Linked DNA regions of Diceros bicornis minor. The protein of the gene in region 1 purifies or fractionates together with the protein of each later gene. This does not show direct contact. Links are inferred from orthologs where the notes say so. Each region holds a gene or a part of one and is shown on either strand. Other genes may lie near its edges. The genes, in order: CD40 and BIRC2.

Region 1 (16,107 bases):
AGGTGCCTTCATACATGTGAATTTCCCAAGTGTTTTTGAAAATATCTGCCAACATTTACAATATACATACCCACAAATTCTACTTGTAGAAATCTATTCTATAAGAATAAAAGCACAGATGCATAAGAACACATGTACAAGCATGTATGTTGTTACAGCATGCTTTGCAGTGATAAAGGCTTGGATGCAGGCTGAATGTACATCGACAGAAGAAGGGTTGAATTGACAAGCCCACACCATGAAATATTACACAGTTATTAAAAAAAGAATGTGTCAGATCTGTGTCTACTAACCTGGAATGATTTCCACAATATGTTGTTAAGTGAGAAAAGTGATTGCAGAAAAATGATATATATTTATTTTCTTATGAAATGAACAAACATATCCTTAGATATGAAGAAGGATACCTACCAGGCTGTTATGAGGAGGGAGGTGTAAAGATAAAGAAAAAAATAGATGTTTACAAAAGTGGGAGTAATACATATAGTATAATGTTATAGGAAAATGTAAAACAAGAAATCTATGATATCCTTGGGAAAGAAAAATCTGAAAATTTATATGGACAAGAACAAAAAGGTGACAAGTACAGATAAAACCATTGATCTCATTTCAGGATGGGACCATGGATAACTTTTTGGTCTGTAATAAAGTGTCTGTTTCATGTATATATATATCTTGAGTGGGAAGTGTCTGATTATTCACTGGGCTTCGGCTATATGAAAAGATGCAGAATTATCTCTCTCTCTCTCTTTGTTTTTTTTTTTTTTTGAGGAAGATTGGCCCTGAGCTAACATCTGTTGCGAATTTTCCTCCTTTTCTTTTTTCTCCCCAAAGCCCCAGTACGTAGCTGTATATCCTAGTTGTAGGTCCTTCTAGTTCTTCTATGTGGGATGCCGCCTCATCATAGCTTGATGAGCATGAGTAGGTCTGCGCCCAGGATCCGAACTGGTGAGCCCCGGGCTGCAGAAGCAGAACATGCAAACTTAATCGCTACGCCACCAGGCCTGCCCCAGGATTGTATCTCTTGATCCTGATTCCCGAACTTTATTTTTCCCCCATTAATTCACTGAGAAGAAGTTGCCTTTTCATAGGTCTTTCCTCAGGGTTTGGCTTTTTTTTTTCTTTTGTGAGGAAGACTGGCTCTGAGCTAACATCCATTGCCAATCCTCCTCTTTTTGCTGGGGTAGATCAGCCCTGAGCTAACATCTGTGTCCATCTTCCTCCACTTTGTATATGGGATGCTGCCACAGCATGGCTTGATGAGCAGTGCGTAGGTCTGCACCCGGGATCCAAACCAGCGAACCCCAGGCCACCGAAGCGGAGTGTGCGAACTTAACCACTACACCACCAGGCCGGCCCCAGGGTTTGGCATTTTTAAGTCAATCAGACTTTTAACTTTTGAGGATATTTCTCCTACATTATCCGGCCAAGAGAATATCTGTTTCTGTTAGTTTTGGGATCTGGCGTGTGTCCAAACTTAGGAAGAGGAAGGGGAAAGGAGAAAAATGCTTAGAGAACTACAACTTGTGGTAAGTGTTCTGTAGGAACATTGCAGTGCAAATAGATTGTTTTGGCTGCTCTGAACATCCTTCTTATTTGAGGGGTATGGGGGTGGGGGCAGAACCACCAGGGAGGCCAAGAGGGCACAGATAGTTCTTCCTCCCTCCTGGCAGCCAGAATATGGGATGTAAGCCAAGCGTGGCCACTCCGATATCCCTTCCCAAGACTTTGACCATTGAAGGAATGATCAAGTTCAGGGTCAGTTAGAGATTGTATTAGTTATCTATTGCTGTGTAAGAAATTACCCTAAAATTTAGTGGCTTGAAATAACAAACATTTATTATCTCAGTTTCTGTGGGTCAGGAATCCAGGAGCAGCTTAGCTGGGTGGTTCTGATTCAGGGTCTCTCACGAGACTGCAGTCAAGGTGTCGGCGGGGGCTGCAGTCCTCTGAGGCTTGACTGGGGCTGGAGGATCCGCTTCTCTCTTATGTGGCTGATGGCCAGAAGCTTCAGTTCCTCGCCATGTGGGCTTCTCTATAGACTGCCTGAGTGTCCTCACGACATGGCAGCTGACTTCCCCAGAGGGCCTGATGGGAGAGAAAGACAGAGAGAGGGAGAAAGGGGGAGGGAGGGGAGGGAGAGAGACAATATGTGATAGAGCACATAAGACTGAAGCCTCAGTAGTTTTATAATCTAATCTTGGAAGCGACATATCATCACTTCTCCTGGTTTCTGTTGGTCACACAGGACAACCCTGGTGAAATGAGGGTGGGAACTACACTAAGATGTGAAGACAGGAGGTGATCGTTGGCCATCTTGGAGGTTGGCTAGCACAGAGCTGGTTTGTAAGACCTGTTTTGTAGCAGAGTCTTGACTCTGTCCTGCCTCCTGCAGTTCCTGCCTGAGTTTTGTTCTTCAACCTTCTCGTCAATTCTATGAGTCGCCTGACACCCTTCCAATAATGTACTCTTCTTCTTAAGTTCACCAGCTGCGTCTTCTCTTGATTGCAATGACAACGTTGACTAGAACAGGTGCTACAAGAGAGGACAGCAGTGGGGAAGGTGGTTTGGTAGCGGAGGAACTCACTTTAGATGAGGTGATGAGGGAGGGCCTCTCTGAAGAGGTGCCATTTGCCAGGAGACCTGAATGGTGCAAGAGTCACAAGATGAAGAGTGGGAAGAGGGGCATTTCCGTCAGAGGGAGAACAACAGACATAGGCTCTGAGGTGGGAACCAAGAGGCCTGGATGGCTGGGGGGTAGCAAGCAAGTGGGCGAGTGGAGTCAGGCAGGGAAGCTAGATCATGCAGGATCTTGAGGCCATGGTAAAGAATTTGGATCCCCTCCCCCAAACAAAGCCATCTCTTATTCCAGACATCAGAGCCAGAGAAGGCTGAGGACCAGACCTGAGGTCTGCTTGTCTGGGAATCAGGATCAGCCAAGTCAGTAAGTGGTTTTAACCAGATCCTGACAAAGAACTTCTATACTTTGTCAACTCACCCATCTGTTTTGCTGGCTTTCAGGTTTCCTTAATTTCTGGTTGGGTTCTTTCCGGAGTTTCTTAGTTCCCTTTGATAAATTCCAACCCAACTCTGCTGAGCTGAAGGGAAATGTTTTTGTCCATAGTTGGGCCTGGGAATCCCATCTAGAGAGCCCGGTCATCTGGTAGAGATGGGCAGCCACCCAGGACAGTGTGGGAATGAGCAGGTGGATCCTGGTGGATCCTTTCAGTCTCATTACTTCATAGTCTCTCATTCGCTCAACAAACACTTGTTCAGTATCCAGCGTGTGCCTGGGCTCTGTGTGGGCATCAGGCTACAAAGATCCTCCTCTCCAGGAATCAAGTTGGGTGTGAGTTGGCACTATGGCCCATGGCCCCATGTCCCCTGCATTCCAAATGGGAGCCAGATACTTTCCCTCCAAAGTTTACTAAAAGGGGTAGAATTAAAAGGGTCCTATATGCCCTAGCTAAAACCTTACTCTCCTCTTCCTTGTCCATATAATAATCCTGGGGAGGGAGGAGTTCTTTCGTTTTATTGAGGAGTATAGTGTTTATGGTGGAAGATGATTCCCTTCTCCCTACTCTTTAATTGGGAATCCCTCATGGAGATTAAGGGTTGACTTCAAGAAGGGGATACTAGGACGCTGTTCCCCAGTGGGGGTCTACAGCAAGTAGACTTGCTGATGTCCCTCTGTGCCAGCTAGCAGGGGAGAAGAGAGGTGGAGAGAGGAGGCATTGTTGAGCGGCTGGCCAGGATGCATGAGTTTCTCTGGGTCAAGCTAACTTCCTGGCTAACTTACCGGGACACTGCAGTAAGTTAGCCAGGCTTTCTGGTATCCCACCCAAGCAAGGCTGACTGCTGAGCAAGAGGGTCCCACCAGTGGCAGGAGCCCAGGTGGTGGGGCGAGGTAGGAAAGCTCAAGCCTGAGCTGGATGCCCCATGTCAGAGAACTGTGCAGTGGAGAAGCCCCCAAGAAACTTACTCATGTTCCTCTGAGATACTATATATGAACACTTGCCACTCTGGGTTAGCCAGGGAAGCAGGGTCATCCAACAGGGAGAGGGCTATTGCAGAGAGCCATTCCCACTCCCTCCTCCCAATTTCAATACGGGGGAGGGTGCTGGGGCATGTCTCCCAACCAGGCCATGTCCCCCCTGCCCCCACTTTTTATCCAAGCAGGGAAGATCTTGGCTCAAGTCAATCCTTGGATGAGTAAGCAAGAAGATAAAATGAGATTTAAATTGAGTTTGAGAATACAGCTTTCAAGGAGGGAGGTTTAACAACAGAAAGTGATCCAAAAGTAATGCAATCTGCCCAAGATGTCACTAATGGATGAAAAAGGGAGATTCAACACAGCGTGGCTGAAGGCAGAGATTAGGGGAAAAAACTTCATTATTATGTCCCACCAAATTAAGTCATCTTAATACGCTGATTCTGGGAGTAAACAGAATAATTGAAATACAGTGCGCTAGGGCTGGAGTCTTGCTTAGGTAAGCAGCCCCAGGGCTCTGAGGGAGTATGGGGAGGTAGGTGTGCACACCCCAGGTTGGCTGTTGGAGAGGGCTTTCCAGAGAGGCGGCATCTGAGCTGAGTCTTGAAGGATGAGATGGAGTTGGTTCCATGAAAGGAGAGTGGTTTCCAGGCAGAGGTGACAGCACAGTCTGGAGCAGCAAGTTGAAGGCAGGAAGGACAGTAGGAGATGAAGACCTGGAAGCCCATGGCCTTGAGGCCCTGTGAGCTTAAGAAGTGAGGGCTCTGGAGAGTTGCTTCAAAGCTGGGAGCAACACAGTTGAGTTTGCTTATTAGAACCATCTGGTCGCTAGGATTCTGGCACTGCTGTGGACTTGACCTCAGGCACGCTTCTCACTCTTTCACCTGGCCCTGTGACCCCCACTCCCCTGCAAAGGCCATTTCATCTGATTACAAAATCCTAGGTCCCCATTCTTTTGAATGTCCTTTGCCCTACTCCCATCATCAAACCCTTCATAGTTCCCCTCTTTGATGGGACTCTGAAATATTGCTGCCCTCCCCGTAAATCATCTTCTCTCTTTCCTCCTTCAGCATACTCTTCTCAGCCCAAGAAGATTCTATGCCTTCTTTGGGCCTGTGCCCGCCAGCACATGTCTCCTTGGGAGATGCATATACTAAAATATCTTGCCTTTATCTCATCTGGTCTTCACCCCATGGGGCAACCCGAAGGCTACTATTTATTCTTTCACACATTAATTTAAGCTGCTTTAATTGCTGCTATGATATGTTTTATATAATATAATTAATGTTTTAATTCTGTGTACTTGCTTCCCAAGGCAGTTTTGTGAAGGGACCAATTTTGGAATCAAGCAAATAAAGAATAAGTAATGGATGAAGTTATTATAGTAACGCCCCCCCCACTCCCGAAGGAATTAAAACTGTGCTTGTTTTTCTCAAAGTGGATTAAAAAGGGAAAAGATATTTTACTGTTTCTCTTCATGCCAGGCATGTTTGGGTGGCTTTCAGGAAGCCCCCTAGACTCTGATTTCAAGCGTTCCTAGATTATTAGTGTCTGACCACCGGCTTGAGGTCTGTGTTGCGACCACCGGATTTGCACCTTGTGCCCCCACATCCTTCCTGACAGAAGCTGAGCTTAGAATGAGAAGTTACTGAACCCACTCGCTCCTTTATTCATTCATTCAGCAAATGCATATTGGTGTCTTATTATGTGCCCAGGACTGGGAGAGATTCAGTCCTGCCCTTCAGGAGCTCACAACCAAATGAGGCCAGGCAGATGGAGTTCCAGTTCAGCATCCTCATGCTGTGGAAACAGGGGGAGGGGCTAAGGTGGAGTGGAGTATCTACCTCTGTCTCAGGGAGCTAAGAGGAGGCTTAAATGAAAAGGAAGTGAAATTTAAACTGGTTCCAGGAAGGATAAGGGAAGTAAGGAAAAAGCAAGACACAGTAAGAAAAAACAATGTGTGTTTGGAAAATAAGAAGGCAAGCCTGGCTGAAGCCAAAGTGCATGGGAGGACATGGCTAGGAGTGAGCATGGGGAGAGGGGTTGGGGCTGAGTGGAGAAGGGCTTGCTGTGCCGGGAGAAGGGGTTTGTGCTATTCTGGGGGCATAGGGGAGCCCAAAGAGGTTTTTAAGCAGTGAAGTGCCCGGATCAGATCAGATCTGGAGTTTACAAAGAGAACTCCAACAGTATGAACAACGAGAGAGAGAGAGAAAGTGTTAGTTGCCTGGCACATAGTGGGGGCTCAACAAGTACTTAGTGAATGAGTGAAGCTATGGGGACAGCCCAGGTGAAAGATGAGCCTCTTAATTAGGGCAGCAGCACAGGGGATGGAAAAGAGGGGATGGATTCTAGAGATTAGGATCCACAGGGCTGCAAATGTGCCCTTTGCAGCAGAAGCCAGGAGGATGGGGTTAGCAGCTCCCTCCTCTCCCATCCTCCCTGATCTGCACAGCCTGGCCTTTTGTACTGGTCCAGAAATTCAGAGCTTAGAGAGTCATCACCTCAACTACTGTCTAGTTCAAGATCCTCAGGTTTCATTAGGGAAAATTGAGGCTCAAGGGAACCCAGCCCATCAGAGGCAGAGCCTAGACCAGAACCCGGGTGTTGGGTATTGCGGAGAGTGTTAATACTGGTTCAAGATTGGGTTGGAGGGCTGGGAACCCCGGGAAATGTAGGCACAAGGGTGTGTGTGTTTCCGCAGAACGAGAGGGTCCCGAGTTTCCTAAGACTCTCAAGGGGTCCTACCATCCCATGACAGGGATCTACTCTAAACGCCTGTCTCCAGGCGCCGGATGGGAACTGGGAGGGAAGAGAAGCTGGTGGGGACGCATGGATGGATGAATGAATGGATGGCGAGGCTGGGACGCTGCGCCCACACGAGGGAATTTCCTTTGAAAGAGAGAGAAACTCTAAGTTGGGAAACTGTTTTCCTTGAAACGCCTCCCCAGTCCTTCTTCCCACACCCCAGCTGAGACCTTCCCGTTTTCTGGGATGGGGGGAACTTCCTCAGGTCCCGCCATCCGCGGTGGAGGTGCTTTCGGTTCTGCCGGGATTCCCGGAGGCGGTGGGGGAGAACCGTGGGGGTCCCTGTGGCATCTTCCCAGCACCGGTGGGGCTCTCTCTTCCCTCCCTTCGCCCCCGCTGGGAGCCGGCTGGCTCCTTGCCCTCTTCAGCTTGGCCTCTGTAGTCTCAGGGGGCGAGGAGGAAGGGCTTTCCCTGGGACCAGCCCCACCTCCCAAAACGCGTCCCTAAACTCCCGGGGAAATTGAACTCCCGGGAATGTCCTGGGGAAATCCCAGGGCAGGGAGTCGCCGAGAACTCCGCCCCGTCAGCGAGGCTGGTTGCGGCGATTGGTCCCCGAAGACCCCGCCCCTTTCCTGGGCGGGGCCACAGACTGGGGCAAGCGAGTTACTGGAGACCCTGTCTACGCGCCCTCGGCTCCGCCGCCTGTTTCTCTCCTCGCCATGGTTCGTCTGCCTCTGCAGTGTCTGCTCTGGGGCTGCTTGTTGACCACCGTGAGTTGCGTTTCTGCTCCGTCCCGACCGGGGAGTTTGGGAGTGGGGAACTTCCCGGGAAGAGAAGCGATACTTCGGGGAGGGGACCTTCCTAGCTGATTTTGGGGGGATAGGAGGGTGCGTGGAAGCTGGGTAAGGTACCCAGCTCCTGGCTGAATGAGGTGGGCTGCCTCTCTCTCTTCCCAGGTTGGGGTCTCAGGTAGCCCACAGAGGGCCTGTCGTAGTGGGGGCACTGCAGGAAACGTGCATAGACGGTGCGGATTGGGTTGGGGTTTTGGGAGCCTCAAGCCTTTGGTCAAAAGGCTAGAGTCTAGGTTTGCCTCAGAGGCTTGACACGCGGAGACTGGTGAGGGCTTTCGGAAGTGGGAAGAGAGGCCGGCCAAGGGAAGGGGCGGATCTGGCCGGTTTCCTGTCTCTTTCCCATTGTGGACAGATGCCAGCCTCTGTGAGTTGTTATCATCTCTTTACCAGCTGGGGCTGCTTTCTTTTAGGGCATCTTGTGGGAACAAGGGGTGGGTGCAGAGGCCCAGGTACCTCTTTGAGAAGGCAAGCTTTTAACACTCCCACCCCCACCCCCAAATCCTGGGTGATCCAATCTAGTTGGTATACCCAAGGCTGTCTCTGCCTCCTGAATTTAAGATGACATGGGGAACCCTTGGGGGAAATGAACAGTTCATAAGACCCGAGAAAGGGTTAGGAGACCATCAAGGGTTTCTCCAGAAACCAGAAGAGCTCAGATATACCCAACCAAGCATATCTCCGGGATTTTCAGAAGCCCACACTTGACTCACTTTTTGTTTAAATATATTTTTGTAGTTCCTCATTCTGGAGGCTGGGAATCCCCCAAGTACCTGACCCTCTTATCCCAACCCCTCTGGGCTCCCCCTACTTTCGAGGGCTGTAGTTTCTGGCATGAAGTCTCGCAGGAATGACCCATGTAGTGGGGGGTCAGCAACAAGGGAAGAGAGTCAGTCGGGAGGCTGCTCTGGCCCCAGAGCTTTCATTTTCATTCCAAGCAATGGCTCTTAGGGAGAAAGGAGGCAGGAAGAGGGTGGAGCCAGAGAGAGGAGGAAGGGGGCTCTTGTGGGAAGGAGTGGAGAAAGAGCCAAGGGAGGTAGGGTGAAAGGTAGTCTGGGCTTCTCAAGAGCATACTTCCAGTTTTGGCTCCAGGTAGAGACTGGGCTGTGACCACAACAATAGCAGGGGCTATTTATTGACAGCTTCCTGTGTCAGGCTCTGAGCAAAATGCTTTATGTGCCTTCTCTGTCCGATTTCTTTCAACTCCCTCATTATACAGATGAGTAACCTGAGGCTCAGAGAGAGGGAATGTCTTGCCAAAATTCTCATAGCTAGGTGGAACCTGGATATAAATCTACGTCTGCCTGATTCCTGAGCCTGCCTCTCACATGGTGAGAGTCTCCAAGCCGCGGTCCTGGGGTTCTTTGCATCAGATGGACTGGAGCTATGGAGTAGGAACTCAGGATTGACAGACTTTCAGAGGAGGAGCTGTATATTTCTCATGTGTTTGAAAAAGGCATAAAGGAGTTTCATTGCTCTGAGAGTGTGGTGGGAAGGTCCACAGGATTGCAGGGAGAACATGCACAGGGCGGTGCATTGTGATGTGATGGTGGGGGCAGCAGCCTTTTCCACCTCCTTCTCCATCTGGGGTAAGGTACATTTCTGTAAGTAATTTGCCCACCCAGGTTGAATGCAAGCCACCAATTAGGCAGGATTCTGGACAGTCAGCCAGATAGCATCCAAGTAGATATTCACGTATGTATGATAATTAAAACTGCCATTTAATGAGCACCTACTATGACATTGTACAGGCCATATACACATATTCTTTCTCGTCTTCATAACCTAATCTGTGGGGCATTTTAGAGATGTGAAAACTGAGGCTAAGAGAAGGAAGATAACTAGTAAGTGTTACAAAGTCAAGATTGGAGCCTTAAGCTGTTTGACTCAAACTTGTGCTGTTTTCATTGGGTGTTCCCAAAGTGTGGGAAGGTTTTAGGAAGTGCATGGATATATAGAACTATATAAATATATATATAAATCTATAAGCAACATTGATTTACTTTACAGTTCTGTTTAAAATCCTTCTCATATTTTCAAGAAATAAGTCTCTGGAGCTAGAATATAGTTAATACCTCTTGAGCACTTGCTAATCCTCCTTTTTAAACAAAAATCAAGAGCAGGCCTGGGGCAGAGGGCTGTCAGCAAGCGAAGCAGCCAGCTGGGGTTTAATAACACTGTTTTGTTTCTGTTGAATTTATTTTTAGGGTTACCTTTCATTTATGAGAAGTGATACTGGTTCTTCTCTCATGGCGATGATATAAGGTTCCAATTTAAAATAAACGCATTTAGAGTAACAGGAAGTAATTAATAGCATGGGTGGTACCTGGATATAGTAAAAATAGTGCAGGTGAGACCCAAGTTGATGGAGAGAGGGAGTACTGAGACCTGAGTTCTCATTTGGATTCTATCACTGTGTGACTCTGGGTAAGTGACCCTGGACCTTAGTCTCATGATTTGTAAAGTGAAAGAATTAGATTTTTATCCTTGCAGCTTCACAATCCTGGCATTTCATGAAAGAGGGGTTGGATGATCAGATGATGAGGGGTTGGAGGGAGAAAACATGATGAGGCTTGGAGAGGGGAAGAGGGTGGGGAGCAGAAGTCTGGAAGGAAGAGGCCAGGTGCTAAATATAGCCCCAGCCAAGACTAGGACCGCTGAAGCCAGCCAGCCTCAGCACTCCAGGGGAGGTGCTGGGGTCCTCCTGTGCTTTTGGGTCTTTGGGAAGAGGAAGGACTCAGGAATCAAGCCAAAAGGAAGATCTGTTTATTTCAGAGAATAGTGTGAGGTTCCGGTGCAATCGCTTTGTAGAATACCAGAATGATTCTCTGTGCTTTTATAATCATACCAGTTGGAAATTTAGTTAAAAACAAACACACCAAGTTATATGCAGCCTCCATTTTTCTGCTTTGGACTTCCACTTCAGTTCTAACCTCTGTCCTGGCTGATTTCCACCTTCCTGCCAGGGAGGCTACAGCAGAGATTTCAAGATCCCTTCAAATCGCCCGATTCTGTTTGTAGGTCCACCCAGAACCACCCACTGTGTGCCAAGGAAACCAATACCTAACAAGCAGTCGGTGCTGTAATTTGTGCCCGCCAGGTGAGATGCCAACCCTCTAGTTCTATAGTGGGACCCCTCTTGGTCTGCTGGCAGATGCACACCCCATGTTTCAACTGAAACTCGAGTCTTCAATAACCCCTGGGATTTTCCATCCCTGCCCAGGGCTGTCAGAATGTTCTGGGTTCCCTCTCTGCCTACCCAGGACTAGGGTTCCTATCTCTTCCATGTCCCTCACCAGACTAGGAAGGCTAGAAGGGTCCAAGACTGTCCCCTTTGAATACCCCCGCCCTAAAGCCCAGCCTGGTCGGTTTTTGGTAAGTGTCTGATTCATTGAATTGGCTGGAGCTGCCTCATTTGCTGATGTTTTCCAGGAGAGAAACTGGTGCATGACTGCACGGAGATCACTGGAACAGAATGCTCTCCTTGCAATGAAGGCGAATTCCTAGACACTTGGAACAGAGAGAACCGTTGTCACCAGCACAAATACTGCGACCCCAGTGCGTGGGCTGCTGGGGAAGGGGCACTTGGGAGACAGGCTGATATTCCAGCTCATTCCTGACCATGCAGCCATTCTGGTATTTTTTGGTGAGAAGATTGGCCCTGAGCTAACATCTGTTGCCAATCTTCCTCTTTTTGCTTGAGGAAGATTGTCCCTGAGCTAACATCTGTGCCAATCTTCCTCTACTTTGTATGTGGGACGCTGCCACAGCATGGCTTGATGAGCAGTGTGTAGGTCTGCACTTGGAATCCAAACCCAAGAATTCGAACCCACTACGCCACTGGGCCGGCCCCCATTCTGTTTTTTTTTTTTTTTTTTATAGCCAAGGTCTGTTCTGATTGGTTGGAGTCTGAGTTATTTAATTTGATCGCCATCCCTACTTGGACGAGGGTCTGAGAAAAAAAGATCAGGATGTGTGAGGAGCGGGGCCCCGAGCATGGCCAGCAAAGAGTTCCCATCCTTCCTGCCTGTCTCTGCTCAGACCTAGGCCTCCGGGTCCAGAGGGAGGGCACCTCGAAAACAGACGCCACTTGCACATGTCATGAAGGCCAACACTGTTCCAGCGATGCCTGTGAAAGCTGCACCCTGCACAGCTTGTGCCCCCCTGGTCTTGGGGTCAAGCAGCTCGGTAAGTGGCCTGTCTGGGAATCAGCTCTAGAGGCAAGAGAGAGGAGCCAAGGGCCAAAGGTGAGGGGCTGGGCAGTGGGCACTCAGCCCCAGAGGCGGAGGGAATGGGGACTCCAACCTACGTGGAATCTCCGCCAGAGTGAGCAGGAAATGGAACCTTTTTCGTTCCACCTGCCGCCATGGGTGTCTGTCTTGGGAGGGCAGTGGAAGGAGCCTTCCTAGGGGCTGCAGCAGTTGGGGAAGCGATATGCTGGGGAAAGGGTGCTTAGAGCAGGCGGCTCTTCCTGCCCTGCCTGTCCACCGATTCCCTCAAGGGCCGGACAGGTGGTCCTTGGGATGATTAATGCCTCCTCCTTCCTCCCAGCTACAGGGCTTTCTGATACCATCTGCGAGCCCTGTCCAGTCGGCTTCTTCTCCAATGTATCATCTGCTTTTGAAAAGTGTCACTCCTGGACAAGGTATAAGGATTCAGCCCTTGTGTTTCCTGCCCCAAGAGGGGCATGGGACCTGCTTCCATTCTCTCTGGCCACCTGTCCTTCAGCCCCTGCGCCACGTGTCCACACACACTCGTGCACTTGTAGAACTCCTAGAGTGACCTCGTGGCCAACTAGATGGCCAACCTTTCAGTATTTTCTTGCCTGCTCTCTCTTGGTGGTAATAGACACTGTTGATCTCTCAATCTTCCCTTCTTGGGGAAACTGTGACACCTCTCTTACTTTCCATCTACCCCTCCTCTGCTCCTTCTCCTTTTTCCTCCTTAACTCATTTTCTAGGCCTTTGTTCTAGGTTCTACTATCCAATCACTTTGCCTGCCTCCCCTGGGCCATCTCATCCATATCCATGGCTTCAGCTACCATCTCTTCGGATGGTTTCCAATCAACATCTTCTGTCTAGATTTGTCTCCTGGGTCCCACACTGTCATATCCAACTGCCGAGAGTACACCTCCACGCAGGTGACCCACAGGCCCCAAATGGACTCACCTTCCCCCTCCCCTCACCATCTGTGAAAGCCACCATCATGTCCATGGGCACTCGTCCCATGGTCCCCCCTCACCTCCAACCCCGAATCAGTCACCAGATCCTGTGCGTCTGGCCTTCCAAATGTTTTGGGACGACTCCTTCTCGCCATCTACACTGTCCCCACTTTAGTTTGGGCCTCATCACCATGGTCTAGATGATGTCTTAGCCTCCTCACCAGCCACCCTGCCTCTGTTCTCTCCCCTTCAGCTGGTTCTCCATTGTTTTGCCAAAGTGAGCTTTCTACGGCTCATTTCGGATCATGGCATTCCCTAGTTAAAATGTTTCATGATTCTCTATGCCTCTAGGATGAAACTCAGTCTCCTTCGCATGGCCTCTGACCTTCCAGCTCCATTTCCTGACCTCTCCCCGCATCACGCTCCTTGCAATCCCCTCAACACATTGTTCCTTCTCTTGCATCAAACTCTTCTGCCTGGAATACCCTTATACACACGCCCAATTAACTTTTACATTGAATTTTTAAAAATGGGTAAGACGAGCGCATGGGCACAAAAGGGCCTATCAAGATAAGTCTCCCTTTTACCCTGTCCCTCAGCCACCCAGTTCTCCCTGGAGGCAGCCCCTGTTCCTGTGTGTCCTTCCAGAGATTCTATGTACAGACAAATAAATGCACACATGCAGACACACATAGAGTCCACACAGTAGTAGCATCCCATACGTACTTTGTTATTTGTTTACTGTCTGCCTTTCTCCAGTAGATAGCAAACTCCTTCAATGTAGAGACTTGGCTTTTTTCTTCTTCCACTGCTGCATCCCTTATGCCTAGAACAGTGCCGGATGCATAGTAGCTGCTCCATAAATGCTGGATGATAACTGGAGGCACCTTGGTGTAGTGGAGTCAGAGCACTGGGTTCCACCCTTGCTGCAGCTTAGAAAGGGTGTGACCCCGTGTCAGTGTGTGACCCTCATCTCTCTGAGCCTCGGTGTCCTCATTTGGACCATGGGCATGACCTTCCTCTCTCAGGCTTGAGGAAAAGACATGTAAAAGTGTTTTGTAAACTCTTGGGCACTCTTCTCATGTAAGAGTCTTCTCATGCATGTGCTTACTTTGAAGCTTCTTTCTCTTTCTCCACTTTAGATGTTTTCTTCTTTGTGGTGTCTTTCTCTGTCCCTCCCCACTCCTCCGGGGACCACCTTGGACTGGGTCTTCATCATCTCATATCTCGACTCCTGCAGTGGCCTGCTGGTGGCCACTTTTCTGTAATTCTCCTCTTGTGAGCTCTCTGGCCAGCTGAGTGCTCTCGCTACTGAAGTCATAGGGTTGGATGCTGATGTGACTCACCCGCTGAATCCAGTCAAAACCTTCCTGGCTGATTATCAGTGATCTGGTTCTAAAGAACCCATTTTACATAGTTCCCTAACACCATCTGGCATGCCGCTCACCTAATCCCTCATATCACGTTGTCCTGCTTAGCTAGAATGTACTGCTGCTCAGAATTTTACATCCTCCAGGGTCCACTCAGATCTAACTTCCCCAGGGAAGTCTTTTTGGATGACCCTTAAACCAGAGCTTCTCAACTGAGCAATTTTGTCCCCCAGGGGACATTTGACAATATCTGGAGACATTTTTGGTTGTCACGACTGGGGAGGAGGATGCCACTGGCATCTAGTGGGTAGAGGCCAGGGATGCTGCTAAACATCCTGTGATATACAGGACAGCAGAGAATTATGTGGCAGAACTCATCATCTCTCCATTCCAGCCATTGTGGATTTTGTCTCCTCTTCTCTGAACAATTACCGGTTCACTTTAGCCTCTGTTACAAAGCTTGGCATTCTTTAGAGACTCTCCTATTATTATTCCTTCAAGATGTGCAACAATCTTTTTTCTGCACTCCTGAGTTCCATAAGAACAGAGTCTGTGTCATTCTCATAATAACCAGCCTAGGAGGTTACATGTAATAGCTGCTCAGTGAACCTGGACTTGTTGTTGTTGACTGTCTCCCACGGGGGTTGGAAATCTTATGACTGGGGAAACTTAATGTCTCTTTGTATGTGTGTGTGTGTGCGCACATGTGTCTGTACACAGCTGCGAGACGAAAGGCCTGGTGGAGCTACAGGCAGGGACTAACAAGACTGATGCTGTTTGTGGTGAGTCCTGGAGAATGGGCCCTGGCAGCAGGCTAGGAGGGTGGAGAACTGAGGGGAGAGACAGAGGCACATAGAAACCCTTGGTGGGGAAAGAGGGAGGGGAAATGAAGTGACAGGAGGAGGCAGTTTGGAGTTGTGGCATCTTAGCTCTGCCACTTACCTGTGGAGCCAGGGCAGGTCACCTCCCCTTTCTGAGCCTCAGTTTCTTCATCTTTAAAATAGGACGATAACAGCACCTCCCTTAGCAGGTTGGTGTAAGCGCCTGGCACGGGCTCTTGCACGTTGGAGGTGTTCCATCAGTGCTAGTCTGCCACCCTGCACTTTGAGTGCCAGCATGGTGTGACACTGTTTCCTCTCAGGGCCTCAGTTTTGATTTTAGAATGAGGAGGTGGCCGACAGCACAGATCACAGACTCAAATAACTACAGGGACTAGGCAGGTCATGTTAATAAATGAAAAAGGTCAGAAGTAAGAAAAATGCACTCTCTTTGCTTTTTCTTAAAATTCACTTTCCTTTTGGCAGGGCTGGGACTCGAGTGAGCTGAGCGAGGCACTTTCCTGGGGTAACAGAAAAACGCAGTAATCAAGATAGATAACATTTTGATGCAATATTTTTTTAAAAAATTGAAATTAATGCAAAAAAATCCATAATGAACAAAATATCAAAATTTAAATAAAGACAAGATCTGACCCTGCTCTTGCACGACCTTGCCTCAATCACCTCGTCCTAATCCCAGCCTCGGTTCCAATAAAACAGTATTTAAAAAACAGACGGCTGGCCTGTGGGCCAATGTCTGCTGATCTGATTTTTCAAAACATGACATTAAAATATTATGTATCTTGATTACTGAGTTTTTTGTGCCCCCTTAAGTTTTGTCCCAAGGCGAGTGTCTGACTTGCTTCACCCTAGTCCCTGACCTGTCTCTTGGTCTTTTTCTCATCTTCCCATGTAGAATAGAGACTTAGGTACAAGAAATACTTTACTTTCCCCTCCATTCTTCTATAACAAAGGCAGCAGTGCAGACATAAATGATGCTGGACCTCAGCATTGGGCAGAGAGTAGGGAGGGGTGGGGAGTGTGGCGAGCCAGTGGAGACAGCTACCATCACTCAGTTCTGGCCGATGGGTGCCAGGTGGGGCTGCTGGCCCACTGGGGCTAGACCTTCTAAATTTCTAGGAGAAACCAGATATCCAGATTTAAATATGCAATC
Region 2 (16,561 bases), on another chromosome or scaffold:
TAGGTGGGGCCAGTCTCTAGGGTGGGCTGCCTGCCCTGGCTGAGCTGGATTAAATCAGTGCTCTAGCAGGTGGGGCAGACCCTGGGCTAGCAGGCCCCAGGGAGAACTCCAATGGCGTCTGTGTCAGCACGCCCACACCTGGCCACAACAATGGCCGCCGCCAATGTCCCAGTCCCTGGAGAGGTCTCACCCCTCACTGAGATGCACTCAGGGCCTATTAGGTGAGTCTCTTTTCACCACAGCACTGTGCACCTTTCTTTCTGGTGATTTTAGGATGCTTTCTGAAACGGGTGAGTTTGCGAGCGGGCCCTTTAAGAGCCAGTTTTAGTTTCTTTGTGAACCGGGTTTTCTGGGGGTGCTCCCCAGTGTTTTAGTAGCACGCAAAGTCAGATATTATGCCGCTGATCTCGATTGTGCTGGGTCCACAAAATGCCCACAGCGGGGGCGCTCCCCAGCTCAGGGCCCCGCGCCTCCAGGGAGGCTGCGTACCTGTGAGCTGCTCCCGGCGGGCCATGAAGCTGGTGGCTTGTGAAGGCGGCGTTTTTCCTCTCCAGAAGGGAGTCTCTGCCTCTTCTACCTCAGTTAGGGTTGTCTGTTGTTGCGGGAGTTCCTCTTATCCAGTTTTCAGTTCTGTCTCAGGGGTAATTTTTCCACGAGTAGTTGTAAATTGGCTGTGCCCACGGGAGGAGGTGAGTTCCGAGTCTGCTTACACCGCCATCTTGACTCCGCCTCCCCATTCTTGCTTCTTAATGTAGGCATTTATTGCTATGAACTTCCCTCTTAGAACTGCTTTGCTGCATCTTATAAGTTCTGGTGTGTTGTGTTTCCATTTTCATTTGTCTCAAGAATTTTTTTTATTTCTCCTTTAATTTCTTCTTTGATCCATTGGTTGTTCAGGAGAGTGTTGTTTAATTTCCACTTGTTTGTGAATTTTCCAGTTTTCTCTTGTTATTGATTTCTAGTTTCATGTCATTGTGGTCAGAGAAGATACTTGGTATAATTCAATCTTCAATTTTCTAAGACTTGTTTTGTGGCCTAACATATGGCCTATCCTAGAAAATGTTCCATATGCGCTTGAGAAGAATGTGTATTCTGCTGCTGCTGGATAGAATGTTCTGTATATATCTGCTATGTCCATTTAGTCTATAGTGTTGTTCAAATCTGCTGTTTCCTTAGTGATTCTCTGTCTGGATGATCTATCCATTGTTGAGAATGGGGTATTAAAGTACCTAACTATTATTGTATTACTGTTTAAGTTCTGTTAGTTTTTACTTTATATATTTAGGTGCTCTGATGTTGCATAGTCAGAGCATAATTCATATGCAAATATGAATATTTGCATAAATATTCACAATTGTTAAAACTTAATGTATTGACCCCTTTATTGTTATATAACAACCCTCTTTGTCTCTTTTTACCATTTTTAGTTTAAAGTCTATTTTGTCTGACATAAATATAGCTATCCTTGCTTTTCTTTCTTTCTTTTTTTTTTGGTTACCATTTGCTTGAAACGTCTTTTTCCATCCCTTTGCTCTCAGCCTATGTGTGTCTTTAAGGCTAAAGTGAGTCTCTTGTAGGCAGCATATTGTTGGATCTTGTTTTTTTATCCATTCAGCCATTCTATGTCTTTTGATTGGAGAATTTAATCCGTTTACATTTAAAGTAATTATTGATATGTAAGGACTTACTCTTGCCAGTTTGTCAATTTTTTTCTGGTTGTTTTGTAGATCTGTTGTTCCTTGTTTCTTATCCTGCTGTCTTTTTTTGTGTTTTGATGTCTTTTGGTATCAATATGCTTTGACGTCTTTATTGTGTTCTTTTGTGTAATACTACAAGATTTTCCCTTGTAGTTACCATGAGGCTTACATAAAATATCTTAAACTTATAAGACTGTGTTTTAAACTGATAACAACTTAACTTCAATAGAATTCATGTACTTTTCACAGTAACTTCTCGTCCTCACTTTTACTGTCGTTACAATTTACATATTTTTTTATATCGTGTAACCAATAACAGATTATTTCGTTTAAGGTTACTTTTGTTATGGTCCTTTTTTTTTAAACTTTTAAACTAGGGTTACAAGTGAGTTATGCACCACTATTACCACATTGCGGAATATAACCATGACTATATATTTACCATGACCAGATTTATGCTACCATTCTGTGTTTTTATGATGTTAATTAGCATTCTTTCACTTCCAATTAAAGATCTTCTTTTAGCATTTCTTGTAAGGCAAGTCTTGTGGTAATGAACTTCCTCAGCTTTTTTTCATTCGGGAATGTCTTTATCCTTCCTTTGTTTCTGAAGGACAGCTTCACTGGGTATAGAATTCTAGGTTGACAGTTATTTTCTTTCAATATTTTGAATATGTCATCCCACTCTCTCCTGGGCTGAAAAGTTTCTGTTGAGAAATCCTCTGATAATCTTAGGGGGTGTTCCCTTGTATGTAACTTCTCTTTTCTCTTGCTGCTCTTAAAATCCTTTATTTGTCTTTGACTTTTGACAATTCAATTATAATGTGTCTTGGTGTAGCCCTCTTTGGGTTCAACCTATTTGGGATCTTTTGGGCCTCCTGGATCTGGATGTCCATTTCTCTACCCAGGTTCTGAAAGTTTTCAGTCATTATTGCATTAAATATACTTTCTGTCCCTTTCTCTTTCTCTTCTCTTTCTGGAATTCCCATAATGTGAATATTGTTTCTTTTCATTGTGTCCCAGTATTCTCTGGATTTCTTTACTCTTTTTCATTCTTTTTTCTTGTTGATCCTCTGACTGAGTAATTCCCAATGTCCTATCCTCCAGCTCATTGATTCTTTCTTCTGCATGGTTGAGTCTACTTTTGAAATTCTCTATTGAATTCTTTAGTTCAGTTATTGTATTTTTCAACTCTAGGGTTTCTATTTGTTTTTGATGGTTGCTATTTCCTTGTTAAACTTCTAATTTTTTTCATGCATTGTTTTCCTAATTTTGTTTAGTTTTCTGTGTTTTCTTGTAATTCACTAGACTTCTTTAAGAAGCTTATTCTGAACTCTTTTTCTGACAGTTCATAGATCTCCATTTATTTAGGGTCATTTATTGGAGATTTATTAATTTCCTTTGGTGGCATCACATTTATCTTTTTTGTGATCCTTGATTCCTTATGTTGGTATCTGCACATTTGAATAATGGGGCTCCTTTTCCAGACTTTACAGGTTTGCTTTGGCAGAGACAGTTCTTCACCAGTCAGCTCAGTTTGGGTTTATGGATGTGTCTGCTGGTAATGTCTTGGGGTAGGTGGGGCCTGCTATTATGGTCTATTCTTGGGTGAGGCAACTGTTCAAGTTCTGAGGACAGGGATGGGCGTGTGTGGCACTGGCTGAGAACAGTTGGATAGGACTGCTAGCTTGGTTCTCTACCCAGGTGAGGCTGTAGGATGGGCTCCATTGTTGCCCAAATTTTCTGGTTAGGCTTACTAGATGACCGGAACTGGGTACTATATTCAGTAGTAGATTGGACTATGAATTAGCTTCCCTGCCTTGGCAGAGCAGCAGGCCATGTCCCAGGGCCTGTACAGCTTGTTGCTTGGGGGCCCAAATCAGGCCTGAGTGTGCACTGAATTCCCTGGTAAGGTGAGGCCACTGGTTTTGCTCTGCAGATGGGAGGAAGCCACAAGCTGTGCTTTGTGTTCAAGCAACACCATATGTAGGGCTGTTGAATGGGCTATACAGCTTCCTGTGTGCTCTGGTTAGGTTCCCTGGTTGGACAGGCTAAAGGCTGTATTCAGCAATGAGTGGGGCTGCAAATGAGATTCCCTACATCAGTGCAGCAGGAGAAGCAGCTGTAAAACCAGTAAAGCTTTTTATTTGTTGTCTTAATTCAAGCTGACCACATGCCAAGTTCCCTGGTTGAACAAAGCCAAGTTCCCTGGCTTTGCTCTGCAAACTTTTAGCTCTGTCTGCCCTTCTCTTGGCTCGAGTGCCACTGGGCCACACAGGTTTCAGGTGTTTTCACCAGCCCTTCTGGTCAGATGTTGTCAGAAGACACTCCACAGCAGATGGGGCTATGTCTTAGCCCCCTCACCTAAGCGTGAGGGGGAGGGGGCCCCTCCAGGCTACTCTCAATTTCCCAAACAGGCTCTCTGGTTGGGAGAGGTCAGGAGCTACCCTCAGCCTTAGCTACTAATTAATCCCCCTGACTGATTGTAGCATGGGAAGCCTCCATGCCTAGTACTGGGTTTGCTCTGGGGATGTTCAGTTCTGCTTGCCTGCCTCTCGGCTTGTGTGCCATTGGGCTGCACAGCTTCCAGGAGTTGTTGCCAGCCCTTCTGGTCAGATAGAGCCAGAAGACCCTCTCCACAGCGGGTGGGGCTGTGACTCAGCACCTTGCCTGGGCTTGGGCAAACCAGGCTCTAGGGCTGGCAAAACTCGTTTGAGAATCCAAATCAGGCAGATCTGCACCTTGCTGAGTTCCCTAGTCAGAGTGCACCCCCAACTTGGTTCTGCACATGAGCAAAGCTGCTAGTTGGGATTACTACTTGGCACTGCAGGTAGGAACTCGGTCTGCGAAGATCAGTGTGCTAGTTGTTGCAAGCCCTCCCCTTTCCTCCATCACAGTCAGATTCCCCTGTAATCCCCATGGTGTGAGATCAGAGTAGAGACTCCTACAAAGTGACCCCTCCCCCCCCAATGCTAGGTGGGGGCTGGTTGTTCTCCCTGGGTTCTCTTTTCCCACTGGAGGAAAAGCCACCACTGGAGGCTCCTGGAGACCTCTCCACGTGTTGCTATGCTGGCCTGGGGGAGGGGCAATGCAGTCAATGTGTAGCCTCTCCTCTTACCCTTCTATTGCAGTCTGTCTTGGTCTCTGAGGTGCAGAGTGGTGCTTTAGCCTCACCCCCATGTTCTAGGATTCTCTCCGTGGTGTCTTGTTCTTGAACAGGTGTTAGTTCTTCTTGTGAGGAGGGGTGAAGTCAGGAATGACCTATGTTGCCATCTAGGTGATATCCCTCTCAAAACAATTTGTTTACCATACTTTTCCTGGTGACCTTCCTATAACTTGCCTCTCTTATCCGGAAGCCCAAAACTTCTTTTCCTTTGTTGGTATTTAAACCCTAAGTTCTAACCACCACTTTGGGTTACTCATCACTGAGGGTTCTCATTTGAACACGTGCAACGCACATATTAATAAACTTCTGTTTGTTTTTCTCTTGATAATCTATCTTTGGCCAGTCTAATTTACAGGACCCCAGCTGGAGAACCTAAGATGGGCAGAGGAAGAGATTTTTCCTCCCCTTCAGTATATACTGACATACGGGAGAAAAAAATTTCTCTCTACCCGTCTGAGTTCTTAGCTGAGATCCCTGTAATAAAAGACAGATTAACGAGAGAAAAACAAACAGAAGTTTAATATGCATACCTCATTTATACGTGGGAGATACCCAAGGAAAGATGAGTAACTCCCTGAGGTGAATTAAGCCACAGGCTTAAATACCATCTTCAGCTAAAGACAAAATCAAGAGTGTGGGGAGGCCAGTTATGGGGAGGTTACCAGGAAAAGCATGGTAAACAGGGTAAAGTTTGTTATGCAGATTTAAGTCAGTGCCTTCTCCATTTGTCACCTCCCACCCCACTTTTGGCCCACCTATCCTGATCTTAGCAACAGTTCTGCTATAAGTCAGGTTAGTGAGAATGCCCCCACCCTTGATATCTGACCAAATTCCTTATCTTCCACCTTTGATATATAAGCCCTCGGCCTATATTCAGCAAGAATCCCCCTGCCCTTGATGTCTCCACTAAGTAATTATACATCCACTGACTCCCCTCATTCTGCTGGTTGGCTATAAATCCTCAGCCATCTTTGATGTATTCAGAGTTGAGCCTGATCTCTTTCCCCTACTGCATGCGATAGTCCTGAATAAAGTCTTCCTTCTGTTGTTCCTTACTTACTGACATTTTAACAAGTGTCAGAATAATTTTTCCTTTAACAATACCACATAACCAATCCTAATATTCTTTTATGCTTAATTTTAAAAAAATATATAAAATGTTACATATGCAATTGATGCATATGAAAAGATTTTCAATCTCATTCATAACAAAGAAATTAAAGCTATGCTGAAATATCCATCTGATAGACTGGCAAAAATCCAAAAGTTTGACAACATACTCACCTGGTGAAGCTGTACAGAAAAAAGGAACTTACATATATTGCTGGCTGGATTGTAAAATGCTAACATTCCCATGGAGCGGGAGGGGTATTTGGCTATATCTAGCAAAATTACATATGAATTTACCATTTGACCTAACAATCCAACTTCTGGGAATATATCCTAAAATAAGATGTATGTCCATGTTTATCATTACATCACTGTTTGTAATAGCAAAATATTGGACACCACCCAGATGTCCATCAATAGGGAAGTAGTTGAATACATTATGGTACTAGTTGAATATATGCTACATCTACACAGTGGAGTACTGTGCAGAAATGAGGAATATCTCTCTATATATACTAGTATTGAGTGATCACCAGAATTTATTATTAAGTGAAAAAAGATGAGAAAAAGAACGCTATCATATATCTAAGAAAAAGGGAGCTATGGATAAACATATATAATTAACTATATTTTTAAAATGAAAAAATGAACCATAAAAAATGTTTAAATCATTACCTACGGAGCAGGAAGGGAGTAGTAAAGGTGAGAACAAGGATTTTTCAGTGCGAAGGGAGAAAGTCACAGATGTACGATCAATGAGGTTAAATAAAACCTTGAATTCCTGAATTTGAATTGGAAGAGTTCATGATGCATTTTTTTTTTTTTTTTTAAAACTTTTTTTTTTTTTTTTTTTTAAAGATTTTATTTATTTTATTTTTTCCCCCCAAAGCCCCAGTGGATATTTGTGCGTCATAGCTGCACATCCTCCTAGTTGCTGTATGTGAGACTCGGCCTCAGGATGAACGGAGAAGTGGTGCCTCGATGCGCACCCGGGATCCGAACCCGGGCCACCAGCATCGCAGCGTGCGCACTTAACCACCAAGCCACGGGGCCGGCCCCATGATGCATTTTATTAGGGAAAAAAAAAAACTACAACAAAACAAGACCATATTACCCAACTCTGTCCATGGAATAGGTTATAAAAACAATACAACTCTAATAATTAGCACCACAAACATTCAGATTATGGTCTTCAGATACTATTTCCCATGAAAGGAAACAGGGCACTTGGAATAAATGGCTTACTACAGGTATGGGGTAAGAAATGTACAAAACCAGCCTGAAAAGCAATCAAAGACTACTAGGGCCATGTTGAAAGGACTCAGGAGCCAATATGAATAAGCTCCCATTGGCCTGAGATTAAACAACTTTGGGCACCGATAATGACAATAACTGTAATGGATTACAACTCACAAGATACGTTTAAATCCTCAGATGATAATGATAGCTGTTCACTTTTTGGGTTTTTATTCACCAGGAATTTTTTTAATAGTTTAAGGTCATGATCTAATTTTATTTTTTATTAGAATAATCAGTTATTTGACATTACTTATTGACTAGTTAATCCTTTTCTCTCTAATACATAATATCAATGTCATATATCAAATTCATATATATATGTCTTTTTTCCGGGTTCTTTAACTTGTCCCTTTGTTTATTTGTCCATCCTTGTGTTAATACAATACTGTCTTAATTACCATGCCTTTATTAAATAACTCGTTATCTGGTGGACAAGTCCCCTCCATCTTATTTATGTTCCTCAAAATTGTCTTGGATCCTATAAATATTTTTTCTACAAAAATGTGAAAAATATTAGGATGGCAACCTAATTCTACACTTGAAATATGAAAAAAATTAATTGAATAGATTTAACGCCAAACTACAAGGTTATACAAGATTAAAAGTTATAAAGTAATATTATACTTGAATGTTATTACATACTTTTTTGGGAAAATGTCTAAGGCCTTTGGGTTTTTGAAATTCGAATTTTCCCCAATACTGAAGTATATTCATTATCTTACTTTTTGGTCAGGACAAGAACTGAAAAAGAGAAATAATCTTGAACTCGGAATGAACAATTCTTGCTATATGTATTTTCCCACATATATAAGGAAGATTCTGTAACTTTCCGAGAAAGAGTGACTTGGACTAAATACTGAACTATCAAAATTCATGTGCATATTTGGAAGTTTTTAGTCATTGGGAGCCATGGCATTTCTTTTCTCTGTATCACAAACTGCTACAAATACTTTCTTTTTATTATTATCATTGGAACAGAAGATCTCCTGTTCTGTGACTGACTGGCAGGCAGAAATGACAGGGACAGGAAATGGGAAATGGTTCAGGGTCTTGGAATTCCCCTGGCTGCCTAATTAAGTGGCTTGTTATTTGGAAGTTTTTGAAATGTTTGTCCCCTGGAGTTCCCCTGCGAGAAGAAAGCATCTGATTTCATTGACAAAGAGTGTCTTCACACAAGTAAATTAAAAAATTCCTTCCCTGCAATACAACAAACACACACTGCACGCCTCTGCATTTCGGCACTACTAAAGAGGAGGGACACAAAACGCCCACAACTAGTAACACCAAGATTTTTTACTTAGAATTTTTCTATCAGTGAACTATTTAAAAATTTCATTGAGAAGTGGGCTCCTCTGTGGTTCACGCACGATTTATGTATACACACGCATATATATGAATGTACACATTCCATTTTAGTCACATTCAGAAAAACCCGGGAGTGAAGCCTGGCCTAAAACACCGTTCATGTTGCTAGCGATGAGTTTTGCAACAAGACACTTTTTCGTTAGTGCATATGTCTCCAGAACAGAAAACCGAAAGTTTAAAAACAATGTTTATAAATAAAAGATACACTGGTTGATTATAAAATAGATATATAATCCTCAAGAGATGATAAAATCAAGCCTTCAAAATTAATCTTCTGACGCTGTTCTACTTTCCAACCACTTGGCTTTTCATTTCCACTGCCGGCTGTGTAATGTTGATGCTACGCAGCTGCGCTCTGAGGCAAAACGGTTACAACTGTTTAAAACGGTTGCAACTGTTTACTTAATTGAAGCAAAAATGCCACCAGGTTGACTTCATCTTCAAGTGCACTCATCTAAGACGAGCGGAGGTGTCACCCCGGAGGAATTTTGCCAGATGCTGGATCATAACTCTGAGGTGACGCGGAGGAAGAGGCGCAAAACCGCCGGCACTGGGGCGTTTCCGCAGGGTTTCCCAAGATTCAAACTCCACGGCTCCCCGTTTGCCACGTCCCCGTCAGGAGAATGTCAGGGACTGAGAGAGAAGGAAACGTTACTCAAACTGCAAGATTAAAAATCGAAACACCGAGATGATGTGGACGCTCGCGCCTCGCCCCGCGGGCTGACCAACTTCCCGCAGGCGGACGCGCCCTCGCTCCCGCTCTCGGACCGCAGACTCCCCGGCGCCCTCGAGCGGCGGTGACGCGGGGCCGGGCCAGGCGCGCTGACGTCACCGTGCGTCTGCGTGGGCCCTGCTTGGGCGGGGGGCTTCGGGAGCGCCGGACCGGAGCCGGCGGGCCTGTCTTCTGTCGGCGCCGTTGCTCTGGGTCTGTGGAGGTCGCCGGGCAGCCGCGCTGTTTCCGTGTTTGCTGCGCCGGCACTGCGGTGAGTGCAGCTCCTTCCGGGCCCGGGCCCGGGCCGCGCGGGGACCCGCTTCCCCGAAGCTGCGGCTGGGCCAGGGAGGGCAGGCCCTGGGCCCCTGGGGCCGGGGGGCGCGGGTCGCGGTGAGCTCTCTCCACTGGCTCTCTCTATTCTCCCCGAGGCTTTTTAATTCGGAAGTTTCAGCTCCAAGACTCGAAGTCGGAGATAAAAATTGACCTGTTTGCACGCCCGCCCTGGCCGCCGCCCACTTTTCGGCCCTTGGACTTTGACCAAGATGTTTTCTCATAGAGGTTTTGCAGGAATTTAATTTAACCCTCGGTGTTCCTTTAATTTAATATGTTGAAACGAAGACAGGTGTGTGGCGGCCACATCTCACGTTTCAGAGTTCGAGCTGTGCTCCGCCACTTCAGGAGTCTGTTGTGTATTGAGAGAAGTAACTCCGGGAAATCAGTGGGTAAATCCCACAGTTTCTCTTCTTTTCCCTTGCAATCTATCCCCCCACCCGGCTACAGTTTGCATGAAGATGGCAGAATCCACAGTACGGTGTTTGTGTATACAAATTTAAAGATATGATATCAAGTCCTGGTGGAACGAAAGCATTTGTGCAGTGGTCACGTTCCCAAGGCCAGTGTTTTTCCCATTGTGCTATGTTTTGTTTTCGAGTTGCTTTCTGTGGTTGTGGCTTGGGAGTTGTAGAGTTTAAGGGTTTATATTAATGAGTTTCTGATGCATTTTACGCTTACTGGTCAGTTTGCCTAGTCCTGGAAAGATGTGACTTTCAAAAATAACATCACTGTCTAATTATTGCTGTACTGTTGCTGATGGGATGTAGTCTCTCTTTTTCACCGCTGTCCCCTTTTGCTATTAGCAAACTGCCAGAGATATCATCTTTAAACCGTTAAAAGTTGTCACCAGAAAAGGGGAGGAGACCAAGGACAAAATACTTTCCTCTTTGGAAATGTCCATCTGTCTTCAAAGTTGTACGTTTAAAAAAAAATGTATAGTTAGTGCTAAGGGGGGTATATGGCATTTATTTGAATTAAGAGCTTTTCCATTTAGAAAGTTTTGGAGACAAATTGCTGGAATTAAGATGTGGTATTATCTAAAGTGTAAATCATTTTTAAGACTTCACTGAATAAATTGAAGAGTGTGTAAGTTCTATTTAACATGAAGATAGTTTTCTAAAATAGCTTTTGTTTTTTCTTTTCAGATTTACAGCTCTGAAGAGTCTACTTTTTCCCCCTCTTTTTTCCCCCTGCAGTAATAAATCCCGTTATGGAGACCCAGAAACTTTATAAAGGGATATAGTTTGAATTCTGTGGAGTGTAATTTTGTGTATGAATAGGGTTTTCAGAAAGAATGCTACTAGGGATAATTACTGGTACATTTTGCAGAAGCAGTAATTCTCTTGGTAGTGCAATATTTTGTTAGGCATTTGTATTAACACTAAAAAGGACAAGCTGTATCTTGATAAATTGATTTATCTTTAATTACAAAATGAGTGTATAATAGATGCATGACCTTAAGTGAAAGACAGATGATTTAATTTTTAAATGGAGTGTAAAAAGTTTCAGCTGTGGCAATTTTATGGTTAACTAGTTAAGTTTATGGAGAAAATACTTTCAGTTGATCAAGTGTAATAAAGTGATATGCAGTTAGGAAGAAAGGCAACATAATGATGCTGCAGGAAATGGAAACAAATATAGACAATATTTAACAAAGATGGAAGATTTAGCAGTTTGTGGGCTTTAAGCAAAATTAATTTCATTTGATATCATACACACTATAATGAGCATAAGTTCAATAAAGCTTGTGGGTGTTGACGTCCCCAAAAGTTGTTAGCTGAAGCTAATATAACCCACTTAAGTAAATACTATGATGATAAGCTATGTGAAATTAGCCTTTCGATAATGTGACCATACAAAGACTTTAGTTCTTGTTTACTAGAATAAAACAAGGTTTTTTTTATATATCATATTAAAGTACTTGTAGGGAAAGAATCTTGAATATAGATTTTTCCTCTTGTAGCATAATTAGTAATTGGCTTGACATCTAGGCTTTGTAGGCTGTAATCAGAAGCAAATTAAAGGTATAACTTAGGTATTCTACAGTTGTTTAGAATTTTGGGAATATAAACCCACTTGAAAAATCAAGGAGTTTTAACTTATTTTTAGAAGTATATCAACTTAATTCAGGCCATTAGGTTAGTATTGCACCAAATAAGAAGCACATAACACTTAAGTTACCTAAAAGAGTTAATATAATCCCAAAGAGTACTAAATAGTATCTTGGTAATTGAGGGGAGAGATTCATCCTACCTGAGTGTAAACTCAGGTGTAAGTCCAGTAAAGAAGGTTTAGTGAGTTTTACATAAGTAGGAGCTTATTTGATTCTTTATGGTAAAAATCTAGTGTGAAGAGATGAGAAATTTCATGTGAAGGTTTTTAGCCATTCAAAAGTAAAATCACTCATGCACAAAACTACCTCCCAAAGACTTGTCCCAGGTCCCTCGTATCAAAAAATTAAGAGTATAATGGAAGATAGCACGGTCTTATCAAGTTGGACAGTCGGCAACAAACAGAAAATGAAATATGACTTTTCATGTGAACTCTACAGAATGTCTACGTATTCAACTTTCCCCACCGGTGTTCCTGTGTCAGAAAGGAGTCTTGCTCGTGCTGGTTTTTATTACACTGGTGTGAATGACAAGGTCAAATGCTTCTGTTGTGGCCTGATGCTGGATAACTGGAAACAAGGAGACAATCCTATTGAAAAGCATAAACAGCTATATCCTAGCTGTAGCTTTATTCAGAATCTGATTTCTGTTACTAGTCTGGAATCCACCTCTAAGAATACTTCTCCAATGAGAAACAGTTTTACACATTCATTATCTCCCACTTTGGAACATAGTGGGTCATTCAGTGGTTCTTATTCTAACCTTTCACCAAACCTTGTTAATTCTAGAGCAGTCGAAGACTTCTCCCCGTTGAGGACTAACCCCTACAGTTATGCAATGAGTACTGAAGAAGCTAGATTTCTTACTTACCATATGTGGCCGTTAACCTTTTTGTCACCATCAGAATTGGCAAAAGCTGGCTTTTATTATATAGGACCAGGAGATAGGGTAGCCTGCTTTGCCTGTGGTGGGACTCTAAGTAACTGGGAACCGAAGGATGATGCTATGTCAGAACACCGGAGGCATTTCCCCAATTGTCCATTTTTGGAAAATTCTCTGGAAACGCTGAGGTTTAGCATTTCAAATTTGAGCATGCAGACACATGCAGCTCGACTGAGAACATTTATGTACTGGCCATCTAGTGTACCAGTTCAGCCTGAGCAGCTTGCAAGTGCTGGATTCTATTATGTGGGTAAGAAACAATCTAATATATAGCTATACATTTTATCTAGTTCATTTTGATTTACATGTTAGAATATGTGTGTATTCAGTTTTAGTTTTTTGTTTTCCTTAGGTCGCAACGATGATGTCAAATGCTTTTGTTGTGATGGTGGCTTAAGGTGTTGGGAATCTGGAGATGACCCATGGGTAGAACATGCCAAGTGGTTTCCGAGGTAATTGTTTTGAAAGGTATTTCTACACAAAGCTCTGTGCTTAAGAGAAGTAGGCATGCTTTCATGATTAAATTTACATTTTAATATAACAGTTTCTTTTACTATTGGGGAATTTGTCTTTTAAAATACGAAGTTTTAACGTTAATTATTTTGATGAAAAATGTTGTAGAATGTTCTGTGTTTTCTTCTTTTGCAAGCCATGTACTCGGGATGTAATTTAACTTATTCTTGATGATGCATTTACAATTATGGCCAAACATTTCATTTACATATTTCCCATTTTACTTTAAAGAAGACTTAAGGATTATGAAGATATGTAAAATAGAACAAAAGGAGCATAAGTTAGAAAACAGTAAGAAGGGAACAGGAAAACAAGAAGGGAGCCATAAAATGGATCTAGGAATAAGACAAATATAAAAATGCATATAATAAAAGCTGGTTAAGTCTTATTATAATTGTAAATTATTTTTTCTATACAGTTTTATCTTGTGATATGTCACTTATGTCCTTTTAGTCACTCTGTCTCTAGCAGTATCTCTTATTTTTTACCATGGCTTAGAAAGAATTTAGAGGCAATGTTGTTAGTGGAAATAGAATTAGAAATTTATTCTGTTTTTGTTTTTGAGTAGCTATGTCGACTTGGGCAAGCCATGTGATCCCTTGAACCTCTTTCCTCATCTGTAAAATCAGGAGATTGGACTAGATAATGTTGTTGTTGTTTTTTTAATTGTAGTAAAATATACCTAACATAAAATTCACTATTTTAAGCATTTTTAAGTGTGCAGTTCTTTGGCATGAAGTACATTCATATTGTTCCTCAATCATTACCACTGTGCATTTAAAAACTTTTTCATCTTTCCAAACTAAAACTTGCACTTATTACGCTAACTCTCCATTCCTCCCTCCCTCCCTCCAGCCCGTGGCAACCACCATTCACCTTTCTGTCTCTATGAATTTGACTACTCTAGGCACCTCATATAAGTGGAATTGTATAATGTAGATAATGTTTGACCTGTGAGTACCTTTCACAATCATGAGGAATCTCTTGAACCCCTTCAGGAAATTAAAAAATCCTTTTGTCATTTTTGTATAATATAAGATACAAAAGAAATATGAAGTGAGAAATATTTTTTTATGGATTAGTACATTGTTAAAAGTTGTATTTTAAAATTATATCTTTAATATTCATAATATATCAAGATAAATTTTGACTTTCTAACTCTGGAAAGTAATATATATTTTGTTTGTTTTTAATCATTTATGTAGGAAAAAGCATGTTTTATTGTCAGAATTTTAAATGACCTAATTATGCCTGGCTCTATGGGATTGTGTACATATAATTTGAAATTTAACTAATATAGTATTAAAGAGACCAAAACAGCTTTCCAATTTCAGTGTTTGAATTGCTGCATTTTGTCCTTTATAAAACAAAACAAAACAAAACAAAATCTTGGTTTGTTTCTGTAATTTGTGTTTTGTTTTAAATGGTTAAATAACACAAAAGGCTTAGGGGTGCTTTTTGTAATCACTTCTGAAATCAACAAATTTCAATTGTGGATAATCTTAAATCTCAGTAAATGAAAAGTCAAAATGGATAATTGTTATCACTTTATTTTAACACAGTTTGTTTATTTATCAAATATTTGGGTGCCTACTGGATACTATTTTAGATACTGGGGATGTAACAGTGAATAAGACAGACAAAAATCTGTGTCCTCATAGAATTCACTGGAGAAAAGGGAAGTATGGAGCAGCCAGGGTTCGTTATACTTCCTGTCTTTAATCATTATGAATATAAATTAATCAGTCCCGGAATAAAAATAATTTAAAATTATATAAAGATGAAGAACACAATGACAAGTAGCTCTGTTATCTGGGTGATAACCTTGAGTCCTGAGCATGCCTGTATGATCTCTACTGATTCTACCCATTCACTAGTTGAGGGACATTTGGGTTCTTTCCAGTTTGGAGCGATAATGAATAAAATCACTCTAAACATTAATAAACATTTGTGAACATATGTTTTCATTTTGCTTGGATAAATACTTAGAAGTGGGACTTGTGGGTTGTATGGCAAGTTTTGATTTAACTGTATAAGAAACTGCTAAATTGTTTTCTGAAATGGCTGTACCATTTTATTTTATTTATTTTTTTGAGGAAGATTGGCCCAGTGTTAATATCTGTTGCCAATTTTCTTCTTTTTCATTTTTCTCCCCAAAGCCCCAGTACTTAGTTGTGTATCATAGTTGTAGAGTTGTAACTCTTCTTTGTGGGACGTGGCCTCAGCATGGCCTGATGAGTGGTGAGTAGGTCTGCGCCCAGGATCTGAAGCAGCGAACCCCAGACCCCTGAAGCAGAATGCACGAACTTAACTGCTGCGCCACTGGGCTGGCCCCAGCTGCACCATTTTAAATTACCACTGGCAATGTATGAGACCTCCAGGTGTTACACATTTTCTTTTTTTGCTTAAGAAAGATTAGCCCTGAGCTAACATCTGTGCCAGTCTTCCTCTACTTTGTATGTGGGTTGCCGCCACAACGTGGCTGAAGAGTGGTGTAGGTCCACGCCTGGGAACTGAACCTGGGCTGCTGAAGCAGAGTGTGCCGAACTTAACCACTACGCCCTGGGGCTGGCCCCCAGATATTCCACATTTTTAACTACACTTGGTGTTGTCAGTCCTTTTGATTTTAGCCATTGTAATAGATGTGTAGTGGTATTTCACTGTGATTTTAATTAGCATTTCCTTAATGATTAACGATGGTAAACTTCTTATTTGCTTCTTTGCCATCTATATATCTTTTTTGGTGAAGATCTGTTCAAATCTTTTGCCCACTTTAAAGTTGTTTTTTTTTAAATTACTAAGTTTTGAAAGTTATTAATGTATTCTAGATACAAGTCCTTTATTAGATGTGTTTTGAAAACTTGCAGTCTGTGGCTTGTCTTTTCATTTTCTTAACAGTGTCTTTTGATGAACAGAAGTTTTTAATTTTGATGACATCAGTTTATCAATTTTATCTTTTATGGGTTATGCTGTTGGTTTCTTAGCTAAGAAATCTTTCCCTAACCTAAGGACAAAAAAAGATTTTCTCCTGTGTTTTCTTGTAGAAGTCTTATTGTTTTAGGTTTTACATTTAGGTATATGATTCATTTGTAGTTTATTTTTGTATATAGCATGGGCACAGATCAGGGTTCATTGTTTTTTGCATATGGATATCAAGACGTGTAGCACCATTTGTTGAAAAACAAAAGGAATGAAATGGAAACACGTTATGTGAACTTCCTGGAACACCTTTGAGACGTTCTAGTAGTTTGAAAACAAGTATTTGGGAAACACTGTCACATTATGTATAGATGAAAATGATTCAGTGTTTTTG

The links.
Region 2: the proteins of CD40 (region 1) and BIRC2 purify together in Homo sapiens (affinity purification with western blotting; 4 studies listed by BioGRID and IntAct, with this or other methods). This does not show direct contact. The link is inferred for Diceros bicornis minor from reciprocal best matches to the Homo sapiens genes CD40 and BIRC2.

Annotation. Positions count from the first base shown.
Region 1 is NC_080758.1:15,287,133-15,303,239, reverse strand, and holds the start of CD40 (tumor necrosis factor receptor superfamily member 5), read left to right. Parts: upstream 1-7,394; 5' UTR 7,395-7,455; coding exon 7,456-7,506; intron 7,507-10,605; coding exon 10,606-10,684; intron 10,685-11,016; coding exon 11,017-11,142; intron 11,143-11,625; coding exon 11,626-11,772; intron 11,773-12,135; coding exon 12,136-12,229; intron 12,230-14,835; coding exon 14,836-14,897; intron 14,898-16,107.
Region 2 is NC_080746.1:32,611,025-32,627,585, reverse strand, and holds the start of BIRC2 (baculoviral IAP repeat-containing protein 2), read left to right. Parts: upstream 1-9,232; 5' UTR 9,233-9,620; intron 9,621-10,827; 5' UTR 10,828-12,087; coding exon 12,088-12,985; intron 12,986-13,087; coding exon 13,088-13,187; intron 13,188-16,561. UniProt on the Homo sapiens protein: Multi-functional protein which regulates not only caspases and apoptosis, but also modulates inflammatory signaling and immunity, mitogenic kinase signaling, and cell proliferation, as well as cell invasion and metastasis.